2 linked regions of the Lepisosteus oculatus genome follow. The protein of the gene in region 2 binds, or shares a complex with, the protein of the main gene of each other region. Links are inferred from orthologs where the notes say so. Each region holds a gene or a part of one and is shown on either strand. Other genes may lie near its edges.

Region 1 (7,705 bases), on a different chromosome or scaffold from region 2:
ACTATGAAGGGCAGAGAGAAGAAGCATTTATTCATTTTTCTTTTGTCTTCAATATGAGGCAGGTTTAAGATACAAAATGTAAAAAAAAAGAAATGTAAAAGAGAATTTGAATACACGTGCACAAAGAGGAAAAGACATTGCGAGCTCTGGTGTTACAATGTCTTGAGTGCTGTAAAAGTACAAACAAATAGATCTATTTAATAGAAAATTAGGTGTTTTTTACACTGTTCACATTTAATATAATACTGATGTGTGTATGAGACTCCCTTTACCTTACATTCTAAAAAGAAAAGGGGCTTTGAAAATGCTACAGTAATAACATTTGTACAGTAACTCTCTGCCATTGGGGCTTTGTCGCCTTTATATAAAGAATGTTATTTCCCAGGACCCTTGGGAACTGGCAAGAGTCTTACCTTAGGACATGAGCCCTCAAAATAATATCCCTGATGATGACGGATTCCAAAATAGACTTGGTTAGGAAAGAGAGGCAAAAATCTGAGCATGAAGGTTTCCCGCTGATCCATGTAGAACTAACATTCTTCCCTATAACCAGCAGTGCCTACGGCTTCAACCACTATCAATACCAATACAATTGAAAAAAAAATTAGAATGTCACTTCTTAAATGCTCCCCATTTAATATTGCCATTAGCGGAAAAGCTTGATACCGCAAATTGTGTACTGCAGTAAGCTTTTCTGACATACCAGTGTTGGTACAGATGTGCATGCTACAGTACTTCAGAGAGACATTGTAAATTGCCTTAATAACCTGAGACAAAAATATTTATTTGTATTTATCATAAAGCATACAAAATCTGTGAAACCTTGCTGTAAATAGAAATTGTTATGGATTCTGAACACTTTACACCAGATAATAATGTTTAAGGTTATACTGATGAACAAAAGAGCAATAAGTTCATATTCCACATAGCAATATCACAAAAATCAAATTCAAACATAGCTATTATTTCTACAAAAGACAGTGCTACAGTACGTGCACCTGGCAGTTAACATGTACACTTACAAACACACATTACAATGGTATTTACATGTATATAACCATTATGACTCTTTATTAAATCACCTTAAATGAATCCAGTCTGTTTTTTGGTTCAGTGGTGCATAAATAATGCTCTAACCTCCAGGAGTCATTATTAATAATGGTCTAACCTCTAGGAGTCACTATTGTACTTTTTACTTAAGCCATTGCTGTCCTACACACACATGGACATACTGAAAAAAACACAAGACATTCAAACAGATATTTGAGACTTGAACTTTCTGGATCTCAGCATTCAACACTATTCTCAAATGGCAAACTGAAAAGGAGAGCTGAGGTGGCAGGGACAAGAGTGGTCTGATTGGTGTGATTCAGGGCTGTGGTGTTGCAGATAGGCTTTACCAGCTGGAGTCCTCATTGAGAAGCCAAAACTTACAAGGCATTGGGCACCGACAGCTCAAATGTAGGGAAAGGATTCCCTTCTGTGATAGTTAAGGAAGTGGGGGATGAGCAAGACAACACTCACCAATTTTTACCGTAATACGATTGAGTCCTGACTGGTGGTATTACGGTTTGGTATGGTGGAGCTACAGTACAGGACAGAAAAGCCATACAGAGGGTTGTGAAGTCCGCGCAGAAAATCACTGGTACCAAGCTACCCTCCATCGACCAGATATATCTCTTCCACTGCCACAACCGGGTTCGAGCTTTAATTTGGGACCCAATTCACCCTGGCCATGATCTGTTTTCACTCCTGGGTTCTGGTAGGAGGTATTTCTTTCCCCAAGTAGTCCGCATCATAAACAGCTCAAATTAGCACCTGCACATATTAGCACCTGCACTTTAAGGTACTGCACTGTTTGCACTATGTCCCGTAGGCTATATTCTAATGTCTATTGTCTACATTTATTGTCCATGTCTGTATGGCATTTGTGCCTATTTTTTCTCTCTCTAATGTTATAGCTGAACAAGTAAGCATTCCAATACACTTGTGGTATGTGGCAAATAAAGAAATCTTGAATCTTGCATCTTCTCATAACTGCCAGGCAATATATGTCAACCTTGTCCATTTGTTCATTCATGCTGTTCATCTTGGCGGTGGGGTAGCTCTGTGGCTAAGGATCTGCGCCTGTGGCTGGAAGGTTGCTGGTTTGTATCCCGCAGCTGGCAGAGGAATCCTACTCTGTTGGGCCCCTGAGCAAAGTCCTTAACCCCTACTGCTCCAGGGGCACTATATACAGTAAATGGCTGACCCCGTGCTCTGACCCCAAGCTTCTCTCCCTGTCTGCCTCTCTCATGGAGAGCAAGTTGGGGTATGTGAAAAGACTAATTCCTAATACAAGAAATTGTATATGACCAATAAAGTTATCGTAGCGTATCTATTTTCTATCCAACACAAGGAGATGGGTGATTCAGAACCTATCCCAACAAGCACCAGGCACAAGGCAGAATACACACTGAACAGATGCCAATCGATCACAGTGCACACAGACACAAACACAAGCACAAGCTCCCAGCAGGGACAATTTTTCCAGAAGCAAATTCACCTACCAGTATGTTTTTGGACTGTAGAAGAAAAGCAGAGCACCTAAAGAAAACACTCATGAAGAGAGAACATACAAACACCATACAGATAGCAATGCTAACCACTGTGCCACCCATGCCAATGTTGTTTGTACTTGAATTGATTTTTGTATATAAACCAATGGCTGTCTCCTTTTAGAGTGTGGGTTTACAGTGGAGGATTATTTATTCCATTCACAGATGCAGATTTAAGAAAAGATTTGGGCTTTAAGCAATTGCCTATTTACTGTTTTTCTCAAGCTTCCCATTGTCCATGAGAATATGGAAGAGGCCTATTGACCTTGCTCAGTAACTTCTAGAGTTTATGCTTAGCTCCAATAATTTGTTTGAACCCAAGCTGGTGCCAAAACTGTCTAATATATAACTTTTACTGTATTATCAATTAAAACCCCCTCACAAGCAAAACATGAGACATCAAGATATGTCATTTTTCAAGCCTCTCATAGCTGCATTTGTGCTCTGCATTCCTCTGCTGGAATTTGATCATGGTTGCTCATTGGCTTAGGGTATAGACAGAGCCACCCTCTGGACATCAGCAGATATTGCTACACCACAGGGTGGGCCTTCTGCTGCAGAAGAGTTCTGCATTGTCTGGAGTTCAAGTAGATGACTTAGCATAGAACAGTTATAGACAAGAGGCTTTATGGCCCACCTAGTCCATTTGGCAGGGTAGTTAATCCAAGAGCGTCATCTTCTCAAACAGACTTCAGTGCCACTGAACCATCCATGTTCTAAACCAGTATTATCTTAACCATCATTTTGTTATCCAGTACAGGGTCATAAGGAAATCCAGAGCCTTATACACCCTGGATGGGACACTAGTCCATCACACACAGGGCAGACACAGACTAAAACACACATACTCACGCCAATTAATTCTTCCAGTATGTCTTTGAACTGTGGGAGGAAACCATAGCATCCAGAGGAAACTGAAGGGAACACAGGGAGGACACACCAACTCCATGCAGAGAGCACCTGTGCCCCAGCGCCACAAAGCAACAAAGCTAACCATTGCACCACCCTTCCACCCTTTACACCTACAACAAATATGATTTTATGAACCCATTTCTACATGAAAGTTATATTAAACTTTCTTGATGTAAAAAATACAGCTTATACAGCTTTATCTCTGGAGGAAAGGCATGATTAAAATACACATATGCAAGTATGGTGATCTGTTATTAAAACTACAGTATTAAGATAAAGATCAACATCAAATTTCTTAAAATGTCCCATGCAGTTAATAAGAACATTTAAAATCCAAGATTGTCTTCCCCTCAATGTGGTCTGATACAGTGACATGTAAATGCTCACTTCTTTACCTGAACTGCTGCGAATCATAGCTGTCAGGTGTCATCCATGTAGGTGCTGCCCTACAGTGGTAGATGGTTTAAGTGGGTCATTAAAGCACTTTGGGATCATTTGAGACAAAAAAAAAATCATATGCAGTATAAATGTAACGAATTTTCATTCCATGAAAGTTTTAGAGGATACCGGTACTAAACAGCTGAAAGGGCAAATGTAATGCAGTTAAACAAATGGTATCAAGGCACTGCTCATTGTATTAAAAAATCTTCCTAAATGCATTATTAAGAATTATTTAAGTTAGATATCTTTAGGTTAGGTTTAGTAAACCATTTTACCCTAAATACCCCTTAATCTTATCTGCAACCTGGAAAGAAGCACGCTGTAATATGTACTGTAACTTTGTGATTAGTCCTAAACATAAAGCCTTTGCCGGTTCCTTCAGCGTTCAACGTTTTTCTGCTGTTTTCAATAGTATGTCTTGTTTCATTCTACCAAAACCCACAGCCAGAGTTGCACAAAATACCATATAACTCACTCCAGCACATAAGGATTACAGTACGAATACTAGAAATGGCGTTTTGCCAAACCAGATTTGTTTGAATTGTACTTTCTATCAGGAGCGTCATAGCTCGCCAGAAAAGCCTTTTCCAATAGTTTTTTCAGTGTCGTGGTTGGAGTCCGAAGATTAACTTCGACTTTGCGTTACTCGGAGAATGTGTTTCCCTTTGCGGCTGCCGTAGAAAACCCGAGCGTATAAATCGGCTATTGGCTCCATCGCTCTCTTAGAGTTTTGAGATAAATCGTGTTTGAAACGAAACGGTAAGTTTTAATTGTGTGTGTATTTAGCCCGGTATTATTAATATGTGGAGTTTAGGTGACGTTTATAAGTGATGTGCAGCTTTACTACAAACATTTTTCAAGGGGTTAAGAGCAGTTTTCGGTATTGTATGTGGAGCGAAGGCCTTTTCCTGACGAATTTTATTGTAGCGATAGAGCATGCAGGAATGGTTATGTCGAATGTTATTTTATACATTTCTGATAGCTATCGCCGTCATATTTTAAAAAAAAAGCTCTTGAACTCTCTCTTGGTTCGTAATACTATCGATTTTAAGTTTACTCTAATTACGAAGCTTAAAATGATGCTCTTTCTGTATAGTTAGTTTTTAAGCTGGGTTGTGTGTTTTACTTAAATGCTAGTCCTACTGTAATATACACCTGCCGACGCAGTTACATTAATTGTGCTAGAATAGGAGGCTTCATTGCTGTTGTCAATCAAATGAGCTTGCTGCGTTTGTGCTTGTGTAGTTAATCTCTACGTTTTGAATGTATCGGTATATACTACTTCTGTACTGTTCCAAGTAGTTATCCTACAATATATCGTTGTTTTGTAATGTCGTTCTACCATTACCGTCCTGTCTAATAACTTTATGACGTGCCTCGCCAGCCGACATGAGTCTCCGGAAGCAAACCCCTAGTGATTTTCTGAAACAAATCATCGGAAGACCAGTAGTGGTGAAACTGAACTCTGGTGTCGATTACAGAGGTAAGACTTGGGTAACTTTTGGAGTTGGAGTATCCAGTCATCTTTAAACCACGGCCATACACATTTGGTACAATAGGAAGCATTTACTTTAATAAGTGAGAGCACATCCTTCCGCTGTTGAATAGTGGCCACATAAATGCCCAGTCGGAGCTCTGGTTCCACTCTTTCACAAGTGGAGTATGAGTCATTCTTGTACTAGTTTGAAACTGCTCTAAAGTACAACCTTGATTAAGGCTTTTCAGCTGAGGCACTGTGAGACACTGAACTACTCTCTGGATGTTCCTTTGCATCTTTCAAAACTGGTGCATAGCAACCCCCACATCCAAAATAAAATTAAATCGAGAATGGCAATGAGACACCCCCACGCCCAGTAAATGAGCTGCAGATGTGGAAATAACATGCTTCTTGATGCGTTCTTGACCAGTTCATGTTGGGGTGTGGGTACTGCCATTCCAAATAGATGTTGCACAGCATGTTGTGGTATGTCCTGAAGTGTCTTGGGTATGGTCCATTGGTACTGGCAGTATCTGCTGTGACAGTTTTAAAATAAAGCCTCGTACTGTATCAGTTCTCCAGTCTAGCAGGAGACTGTAGTGGTGAATTGGACTGAATAACATTCGATTAGTCTGTTGGAATTTGTTTTAATTTTAAGGCTTTAAAAGGCAGTGTGCTTCTTGGATAAAGTGAGAAGGGAACTGTGGCATTACTTAATGAGCCTTTCCACTGTCTATGTGCAGGAGTCTTGGCCTGTCTGGATGGCTACATGAACATTGCTGTGGAACAGACAGAGGAGTATGTCAATGGGCAGCTGAAGAATAAGTATGGAGATGCTTTCCTGCGGGGAAACAATGGTAGGTTGGCCTTTTTCACTTTTTTTGTAGCATTTTCATAGGTGAGGTGGAGCAAGAATATGCAACAAGCTGGTCTTAGTAGTCGTGCCAACATAGATTATAAATGGTTTTTATCATTTCTATAATGGCAGCTATATCACAGCTCACAACTGGTAACCCACTGAAGCTCAGCAGGTGTGAGCCTGGCCAGTACCTGGATGGGAGGCCTCCTGGGAAAAGCTAAGGTCGCTGCTGGAAGAGGTGTTAGTGGGACCACTAGGTAGCTCTTGCACCTGTGGTCTCTGTGGCTCCTAAAGTCCCACTTACGGTATAGTGATGGGGACACTATACTGTAAAAAAGATGCAATCCTTCAGGTGAGATACAAAACCGAGGCCCCGACAGTCCATTGTCATTAAAAATCTCTGGGCATATCTCAAAAAGAGTAGTCCATATTTCCCCCTGGCCTTTACCAATCTTGGCCTCCCAGTAATCCGCATCTATGCTTTGGTTTTATCACTCTGTTCTCCCCACTGATAGCTGGTGTATGGTGAACATATTGGTACTCTTTGCCTGCCATTGTATCATCCAGGTGGTGGTGGTGGAGGGGAGTCCCCATTAGCTGTAAAGTGCTTTTGAGTGGAGTGTCTAGAAAAGTTATACAAGTATAAGGAATTAACTGTCTTTTCTATTTACTTTTATATCTAGCCATCTGTAGCATAACTTATTTGTATTAGTTTCCGATTTCAGTAGGATTTTGTAATGAACTACATCACTTGCAATGTATACTATAGTGTTGTCTTTGACATTGTGGTGCTTTAAGATGCATAATCAAGAATCATGCCATAAATAATCAAGTATGTTGACATGTATCAAGGCAACTGCTAAATCGTTTAAAATCATTTTGCAGAGATTGTTCCGAAAAATGCAGAATCCACTAGACAAAAAATGGCAAATCGTTAATTTGTTGCTTTAACGGAATACTAATGTTTAGTAGATTATTGTGAATATCATGATGGCAGCATTCCCAACTGACTTGTATATCTTGTCAGATCTCAGAGACAAAGCTGGGCTGGGCCTGGTCATTCCTTGAATTGGAGACATTCCTTGCTGCTGTCTTGTAGCAGCCAATAATGACAGCTCTGTAGTTCAAAACCAGTTTCCCCAGTGTGGTTATGGAGCACTTGGTCATTAACTGTCCCATGGGGCAGAGAAGAGGTTTTAAGCTTCTACGATTTTGCCCTCTCTAGATTTTCTCATTAATTCAGTTGAAGTCATTTCTCTGTTCCCCATTTGTTCTGCATCGTCCAGGTGGGTGCTGCTCTTAAGATATGGGTGAATTGGGTCTCTTTCCATAGGTTAAGCTCTTTTGGAGGAAAAGGACTATACCCATGCAAGGAATTAATGAATATTTGTTTTCCTTCAGCCTACTTAAGTGTCATTT
Region 2 (8,267 bases):
CCCACGTCCCAGATTAATCTGGCCCAAAGCAGGAGAAACGCGTGTTAAAACTGGAGTCTGACCAAAGCTATAAAACACTGGAGTGACCACACATGCAGATGACAATGGTGGACATGTTCATACATTAAAAACAAACACTTGCTTTGTCTGTACATACATTTATTTTTAAAAAAAAATCAACAATTCAGGAAAAAAAAAACATCCTAAACATACAAAACGTACCCCCTTCCAAAACCAAAAGAAACCTATTTTCCGGTGATGAGGGGGTTCCTCAGCACCACGATGACCGAATCACCCCGCAGGAACATCTTGGAAATGTAGCGGTCCTTGTTAACGGGCTTGGACTTCTTCTTTCCCTTGCCGCTCTTCGGAACCTCGGTCCACATCTCCTTCACGTTCTCCAGCACCATGTTGCAGTGCCTGCGAGGGGGGAGAGGAGAGACGGGGGTCAGTGCGGATGAGGCGCTCTCCCGGGGGCTTCGGAGATGCTGGTCCCTCCACCCCCCCGGACGCCAGGAGAACACGAGTCTGGTTTCAGTGTCCATCATGCGGGCCTGGTCGCGTGCGGTGTGACCTTGCAAACCAGCAGGAGCACGTTGGTAAGCTGATAAGTAATGTCCACATGAGACGCTCTCCTCACGCCAGCTACAGGCCTTGGGACAAATTCCCCTTTCTCCAAAGAAAAAGGATCAAATTACAATAATTTCTCAGTGGGGAATATCAATCTTTTCCAGTTTGTTGTTGACCAAATAATCTTAATCCAATGTACACTTACAACACACTGAGGACTGGAGGATGATTTTGTTCCAGTTAATAAACTCAGACCCATCTCCTCTGGTATCAGCCCACCTGAGCTCTTCCTCAGCATCAACAACTCATAAGCATTCAGGTGTTTGGATTTTAAGCAACTGGACAATGAGGACTTATTCCTAACGTGCTTTATAACAACAAAAAATAAACCATAAAATAAAATATATACCATATAGTTAATTCCAGCAACAGGCATGCAATAGTTTGGTAGTAAAATTGTGGAGGATTTGGTTTGCTAAATACAGCACAACACCCTGAGAGGTTTGAAGAGTCAGAATTTATTAAGCTCTGGAATTGTCACCACCTGACTTAGATTAACGAGTCAATTAGGTTCAATTCACGGTTTTATTTTTCCAATCTGTTAAATTCAGCAAGTAAATAGTGACTGCACTGAAATCAGCAGAAATATGTCGAGTTTAAGTTTGTTCGCTGCAGAGGTTTTGTTAACTTATTTTCACTTAGAAAATGAACAAAACACGTAATGTGGCCTGGGGCGCCCAGATGTTTGCATACAACCGTATAAGGTTAAACTTACAGCAGGGTATAAATGCAAGCAAGGAGGGGGTATTTCTCCTCCAGGGCTAGGAGCCACTGAGTTACATCAGCGAGGGAAATAAAAGACACGACCGTCTTCCAAGGGAAAGGTTATTACCACAGCTGCCTGTGACTCCCTGAACTAGGGCAGAAAATAACAACAGGGTGCCTTCTTATTTCAGCAACAGGCGCGATGGGACACAGGCACCTCTGCCTGGGAGTGCCAGGAGCCCAAGGAGGTCTGTTATCTATGCTATCAAGCCAGCAGTCAATAATAACCATCCTGACTGATTCGGCATCACAGAATAAATGGAAAATTTGTCCAGAACGCCGGGGAAACACCCTGGGATCTTTAATGACCACAGAGAGTCAGGACCTCGGTTTTATTCATCTGAAGGATGGCGCCTTTTTTACAGTATAGTGTCCCTGTCACTATACTGGGGCATTAGGACCCACATGGACCGCAGGGTGAGCGCCCCCTACTGGTCCAACCTCTTCCGGCAGTAAACAGTTTTTCCCCGGAGTCTCCCATCCAGGTACTGACCAGGATGACACTGCTGAGCTTCAGCGGGCTGCCAGCGGGGAGCTGCAGGGTGATAGAGCTGCTGGCCATCCTAGTTTAAATCAGCCATCAGTTACACAAAAGGGCTGGCGGCTGCCTCCCGGAGGAGCCGGGATGGGGGGGTGTGTGCGGGACGGGGCGGCGGCGGCCCGTACCTGTCGAAGGCCTTAACGCGGCCCAGCAGCTTCTTGTTGTTGCGGCAGTTGATGAGCACCTGCGTGTTGTTTTTGACCGACTGGGTGAGCACGGACAGGGGCCCGGTGTTGAACTCCTCCTCCTCGCGCTTCTGCAGCTCCTCGGGGGTCATCTCCGACTTGGGCTTGTTCAGCAGACTCCTGCCCGCGGGAGAGAGAGAGGGAGAGATCAGAGGGGCACTGCGCTGCACTTAACGGCCAGGCAGAGAGACAGCAAGACCGGCACTGTAAAAAAGCTCCAGAGGGGATCTGGGCCAGCGTGTGAGTTTAACTCTCGCCTGGGTCGGCACATTCCACACATCCCTGACTTCTCTCTGGACTTCAACCTCAGATTACCGCTCCTCTGGATACCTCCTCACTTGCCCTCTTATTATTCTCTTCACAAACCAGTTGGTCCATAGTCATCCTCCTTTCCTCTTCCTCCCTCACACACGAGGAAGGCTCCGCAAGCGAACTGTTGGGATTTTCTATTTTCCAGATTGGGACTTCTTTACTCCGTTTTGCAAGAAAAAGGGTATGCATACCGGTATTAAAGTTTGTTCGATATGTGTTTGTTCACTACTAGTTACCAAACGGCATCTTCCGTGACACTGTAGAAACCTGCAGCCGAATATACAGCCCAGGAGAGAGTAATTATGAGGATCGCTCCCAGCCAATTAAAGTCAAACTGTTATTTAAAGTTTACGTTTGCGAAACGACTACCGTGAACACCCGTATTTCTATACAACCGTGCTCCGAGCTCAGCAGTCTCGGCCCCGTTGCTAAATGCAGGAAACACACGACCGTAGCGCGTAGGTCAATTCACAGCCGAGGAAATGCAAGACTGTGGGCATTACATGATAAGAAATTAAAAAGAAAACACCCCACGCGGGATTTGAGAACCACGATGCTTGACCGAAAACGCGCTGCAAGCTTTAACAAAGGCGCCGGCCGCCTCCATGGGCTTCAAACACGGCGACGCGGTTCACATTAACATCCGTCCCCGACTGAATTTACAACAAACTACTGCTTACTTACATGTTTTTTACTTGGCGATGTTAATTATAAGACGAAATGTTTACTGTGTTGAAAATAATTCGCCAAAAAACAACCCCTCTTCCCACCAGCGCAAGTCCACAGAACTACCGTCCGCTCCTTCCACTTTCTACAAGCGCTTCCGGGTTACCACGCAGGCGCTCTGCACACTTCCGTTCGGAGGCCGATCTCTCGCGAGCGCACGGTGCCCGTCTCTTCGCGCACGGACTTGGCAGGAGCCGTGAGTGTCACCCAGAGCGTGTCATCCACAGCAACGTTTAAAGACTGTAGGCTTGCAAAACTTTGTTAGTCATCTTAGATTAATAATGTGAATGTTAAATTTAAGGAGCTTGTTATCATGTTATGCTTTTCAATATGTAATATCGAAAAATATTTATATTTAATGTTGTTAATAATAGGTAAATATCACATTCAAAAACAAAAAGGACTAATGCTACCCCTCCTCTAATGCTAACAAGCCCAGAATGCCATATCACTTAAATTACAATAAGTACGTGAAAAATAACTCCGGCAACATATTGTTCTGTGTTTTTTCCACTTGACTTTTTTGGGTACCCTTTCTCCTTATATGTGTTATTTGATGTTCATTAAAACTTTGAAAAAATGTTTTTCTTTAATGATGTTCATTAAAACAATGAAAAACACACATGTTTAGGGAGACACTTAAATAAAATATATTTTGTCCAATTTTTTACTAAACTAGTAACCTTTCTACTGTTTAATAAGTATTTTGTAATGAAGTGTGTGATGAATTCACTGTCTATGGTGGTACAGTCAGTATTGCTCCCTCACAGTGCTGGGCCCCAGGGTTCAGTTCCAGACCTGGGGTACTGTCTGTGTGGAGTTTGCAAGGGTAAACTCCAGGTGATCCCGTTTCTTCCCACAGCCCAAGGACACGTTGGTAGTTAATTGGATTCTGGGAAAATCAAGGCTGGTACGATTTTGTCTGTGTGGCTCAGTGATGGACTGGCATCCTGTCCAGGGTGTTCCCTGCCTAGTGCTACTGCTTCCTGGTCCCAACTGATCCTGAATTGGATGAAGCTGTCAGAAAACGGATGAACAGAAAAATAAGTATCAGGGCTGTACACAGTGCACAGATTAGTTTTGATAAAAATAACTATAGCTTCCTTGCAACATCAATAATAAATGCATTTGTTTCCTATTTTGTGATATGTTCAACAATTTCCAAAACACTCCATTTTATGGTAGGCAAGACAACTTCCAAATGAAACAAAAGCAGTACACTGCAAGACATATAAACCGTAATTGTTAACTCAAACAACAGCACACAGAGATGGCTCTTTAGGAAACACTTTTTTGGTGTTTCCATTTCCTCTCAGCTCTCAGAGATGTTCAGGCTGGATGAGTTGTTGTCTGTAACTGTCCCTGTGTGCGCGTGTGGGCGAGTGGGTGTGTGATATCTGAGAATGTCTGATCTTCTGCATGTGGTCTCATCTTGCATAATACAATTGATGAAATGTCAAAACCCACTCAGCGTTCATAAAATGTATTCAGTTCTGATCACCACACAGAACAAAAGAACGTTATCATTATCACAGTGCAGAATGAGCTCAGTGAAGAGTGACTAGAATGATTCCTAGTCTCAAGGGATTGTCCTAGACGTGTTCAAGGAACTAAATCCCTTCAGTCTAGAGCACAGGAAAATCAGATGCAATTGGTGTTTAAAATACTAGAAGATCTAAAGATAGGGTCAAATAGATTAGAATAATCCAGAATAAGAAACTCTTCTTCAGCCAGAGTGATGCAGATTGCTGAGGCCCAGACTCAGAGGAGACTTCATAAGAGGAGGAGCCCAGAGTTTCTGATGGACAGCTCAAGACCGTGCAAGAGGTCCAGAGGGGAGAAGGTAGAACAGAACAGCGCCCCTCCTTCCTACTGCGCAGGCGAGGGAGGGAGGGGCGGACTGGAGCGGGAGGGGGCGAGGCCGCACACACAGGTGTCCCTTTGTTGGGAGCCGGAGAGGAGAGGGAGATGGGTATCTGTGCTGGCTCAGGAGCCGGAGAATGCCCTGCCATTGTAAAGGCGCAGGCAGAGGCCGCTGGGGATTGGCTTACTGGCACGAGACAGCCCGGCGCCTGGGGGGCTGCCCAGCGCCTCCCCTCCCCTCCCTCGCTCACCCTCTTCAAACGCGGAGCTCGTCTCCGACTGCGCGCCTCTCCGGTCTCCCCGTGCTGCCCAGAGCCATCGCAAGAGCTACCGCCTGCAAGATCCCATTGAACAGCACAGGAGACAAAAAACCACCGCGCGACCACAGGAGCAGCTGACTGGCCTGGTAGAGTGGACATCAAAAAAGAGCCACATGAGAGCTCTCCGAGCCCTTCGGCAGCCTGCTGACTGCTCAAGGGGTGTGTGACACTGATCCCAGGAAGCTCAGTGTCTCCCACTCTTCCCATCACCCCTTGCAGGCCTCCAGTGTATGCAGAGCCTCCATGCTGTCCGTAAGAATTCCGCTGGCCCGGAATGAATCACATCCTTCATTCAGCCAGCAGGCAAATATTACAAACCCGAAGCGCCGGGAACGTTGCGTCGCATTTGCAGGTCGTGTGGCACCCTGCCAGCGGCTGTGGAGCTGGCAACGTGTCAAAATCCCACCAGTGCATTATTATCGAACAAACGTGTTGAGAAACTCAAAGCTCCGTACAATAGCCCAGGTCAACACAGCACGGCGACAAAGGAAAGGAGTAAAGCAGCACAGACTGATCCAGTGAGACCAGGAGTGCAGACGCTGAGGGGAGGTGATGGGTGTTTAAGCCACCAGTGGCAGTGAATTCCACAGGTGCAGAGCGTCCTGTGTGGGGTTTGCGATGTGCAGCAGACAGCAGCTTTAGTGTTTGCCTTCGTCTCTTGATACAGCAACCTCAGAAAAATGGCAGCCTTGTTTCCATACGGCTTTCAGACCAAAAAAAAGGAATTCCCATTTCTGAGCGATCCATCACACAGCTTTCCAGGAGCAGAGTCCTTCCCCCAGGTTTTGCGTCAAACACACTGTTAGACCCTCATGTCCATATGACAGCTGGGCAGCACACTCAAGCCTCCTTCTCCTTCCCGCAGGGGAGAGAGATCACAGTGAAGCCTGAAGAATCGGGGTGAAGGTGTGGCAGAGCAAGGTGGAAAACCGTGCCAATTGGCCACATCTGTCATTTTACTGGGGCTCCAGTTCTCCCTTGTAGGGCATCTTCTCCCCGACAGCGCCACCCACTGGTTCTCCTGCAGTCTCTGAATCCGCTCCCGGAGCAGGTTGAGCTTCTCCAGCACATTACTCATGGAGGCTTCTGATAATGTGGGTGTGTTTATGAGCAGATTAACTTACGTAAAGGCAGGTTAAGAAGTACCGAGCTATTAAACCTGTTTTTATCTTCATTGCTGACAGCTATTCAGGCAAACTCATGACCCCTGATTTAGGTATCTAGTGCCAGCAGCGGAAACGCAGTCTCTCTCTTCTCCTGTGCTGGAGGTCTGAACCAGCGGCACGCTGCGCCAGCCTGGCCTGGCCCTGTCCTGTCCTGTCCTGTCCTGGCTCTCTCCAGGCCCCATGGGCTGGTCTGTCCTGTCCTTTGGGAGAACAGTGGGCACAACAGATGCTCTCAGGCGCCGTCACAGCAATCCGGCTGCAGACCAGTCAGATGATGATTTACAGTCTCCCACATCAGGACAGTGTTGAGTAATTAGCTCTGTACGACAGCAGCTCATTATTTATCACCATGATTAATTGTCGACCAGCTCAAATTACTGCAGCCTCGGGACTTTGTGGGTTTAGCTCACCCACAACCTCTCTCTCCCTCTCTCTTTCATTCTCCATTTCCCATTCACACTCTCTCTCTCTCAGTGCTTTGTGAATCTCCTTCTCTTCTATCATTTATAGAAACCTCTCAGCCCTGGGCAGACAGTGCAGGTGGTTGTAAAATTCTGCCGATGCACAGTGTGTCAATAACCATGTTTTTCTTCCTCCCACTAGAATCCATTCTCGTTCGATTCTGACAGATCAGAGAGCCACATTGACAACATCAGAACTTTGCTGTGAGTCGGAGAGCTCTCTGAGCTGCTCACCAGCAGATAAAGCAATGAGCTGCAGGCAGTAACTGACAGCCTGTTGACTGGGTGCCAAGTCTGTCCTCAGCAGCGTCTAGCTTCCTGTGCTTCTCTTCAGTGCTGTTTGCAAATCTTTCTGACAAAAAAAGGTGAGAAAAAGTTCATCCTAAACAGACAATGACCTCATCCCTCTTTGTAACAGAAGAGGCGAGTTTATGATCTCACTATCTCTAAAACAAAGTGAGCGACCTGTTCGTGTCAAAGTCTTTTTCTTTTTGGGGAGCTGGAAGAGTGTCAAAAGGCACGGGTTCTTTGCAGGGTAACAAAAGGTGCATTGCATGTCAGCTACATGATGGCCTCAGCTTTTCACCTCCTCGAGATACTGCTGCAGGCAGAACTGCTGGCACCCTGTTTGTGAAAGAAGGACATTTCCTGGGCACCATCCCCAAAGACATTGGGAGAGTTCACACTAAGGATTCTTCAGAATCCACAGGGAAAAACGAACTAGAGGACGCAAGCACAAACTCGAAGGAAGTGCATTTACAACTGAGGACAGGTGACATTTCTTTGCACAAAGATTAGTGAGAGCATCCAATACCCTGGCTTCATTCAAGATACATCTAGACGAGAACTTCAGATCAATTACCTACTAACATGCAAGTGAGCTAGATAGGCACAATTTGTTTTTTAAAACTGTCTTATGTTATCAAAGCACTTCCTATAACTGTAGGTTGATCTATTGTAAGTCTCCTGCTCTTGAAATCACTCCAGAAAAAGATGCGCATTCAGTATCTATTTGGCAGTTGGACTCAGCTGGACACCAACGGCTCAGACCAGCCTTGATGAAGTCTGCCGAGCTGCTGTCCGCTCTCCTTCCTCGATGACTGGCAGACTGCAGCGGCTGCCTGCGTGTGCAACCTGAGCCAGGCCTATTAATGTAATGGTGCCCCCGGGAGAGCTAACCACTAACCTGGGAGAGGGGGAGTGCCGTGAGTGCGTGAGGAAGAGGGGACAGCGAGGCGCGTGCTGGTCGCACTGCCACAGCGCTCACACACCACCTCAGCCCCTCACGCTGCCTCTGG

Evidence for each region. Proteins that work in one complex are often made in the same cells at the same time.
Region 1: snrpd2 (region 2) and lsm6 share a complex: the UniProt entries of both Homo sapiens proteins name them as parts of the U4/U6-U5 tri-snRNP complex. The link is inferred for Lepisosteus oculatus from reciprocal best matches to the Homo sapiens genes SNRPD2 and LSM6.

Annotation. Positions count from the first base shown.
Region 1 is NC_090696.1:27,004,476-27,012,180, reverse strand, and holds the start of lsm6 (U6 snRNA-associated Sm-like protein LSm6), read left to right. Parts: upstream 1-4,598; 5' UTR 4,599-4,709; intron 4,710-5,334; 5' UTR 5,335-5,339; coding exon 5,340-5,433; intron 5,434-6,170; coding exon 6,171-6,284; intron 6,285-7,705. UniProt on the Homo sapiens protein: Plays a role in pre-mRNA splicing as component of the U4/U6-U5 tri-snRNP complex that is involved in spliceosome assembly, and as component of the precatalytic spliceosome (spliceosome B complex).
Region 2 is NC_090698.1:1,335,020-1,343,286, forward strand, and holds the start of snrpd2 (small nuclear ribonucleoprotein Sm D2), read right to left. Parts: upstream 3,266-8,267; 5' UTR 3,120-3,265; coding exon 3,118-3,119; intron 2,242-3,117; coding exon 2,062-2,241; intron 421-2,061; coding exon 246-420; 3' UTR 1-245. UniProt on the Homo sapiens protein: Plays a role in pre-mRNA splicing as a core component of the spliceosomal U1, U2, U4 and U5 small nuclear ribonucleoproteins (snRNPs), the building blocks of the spliceosome.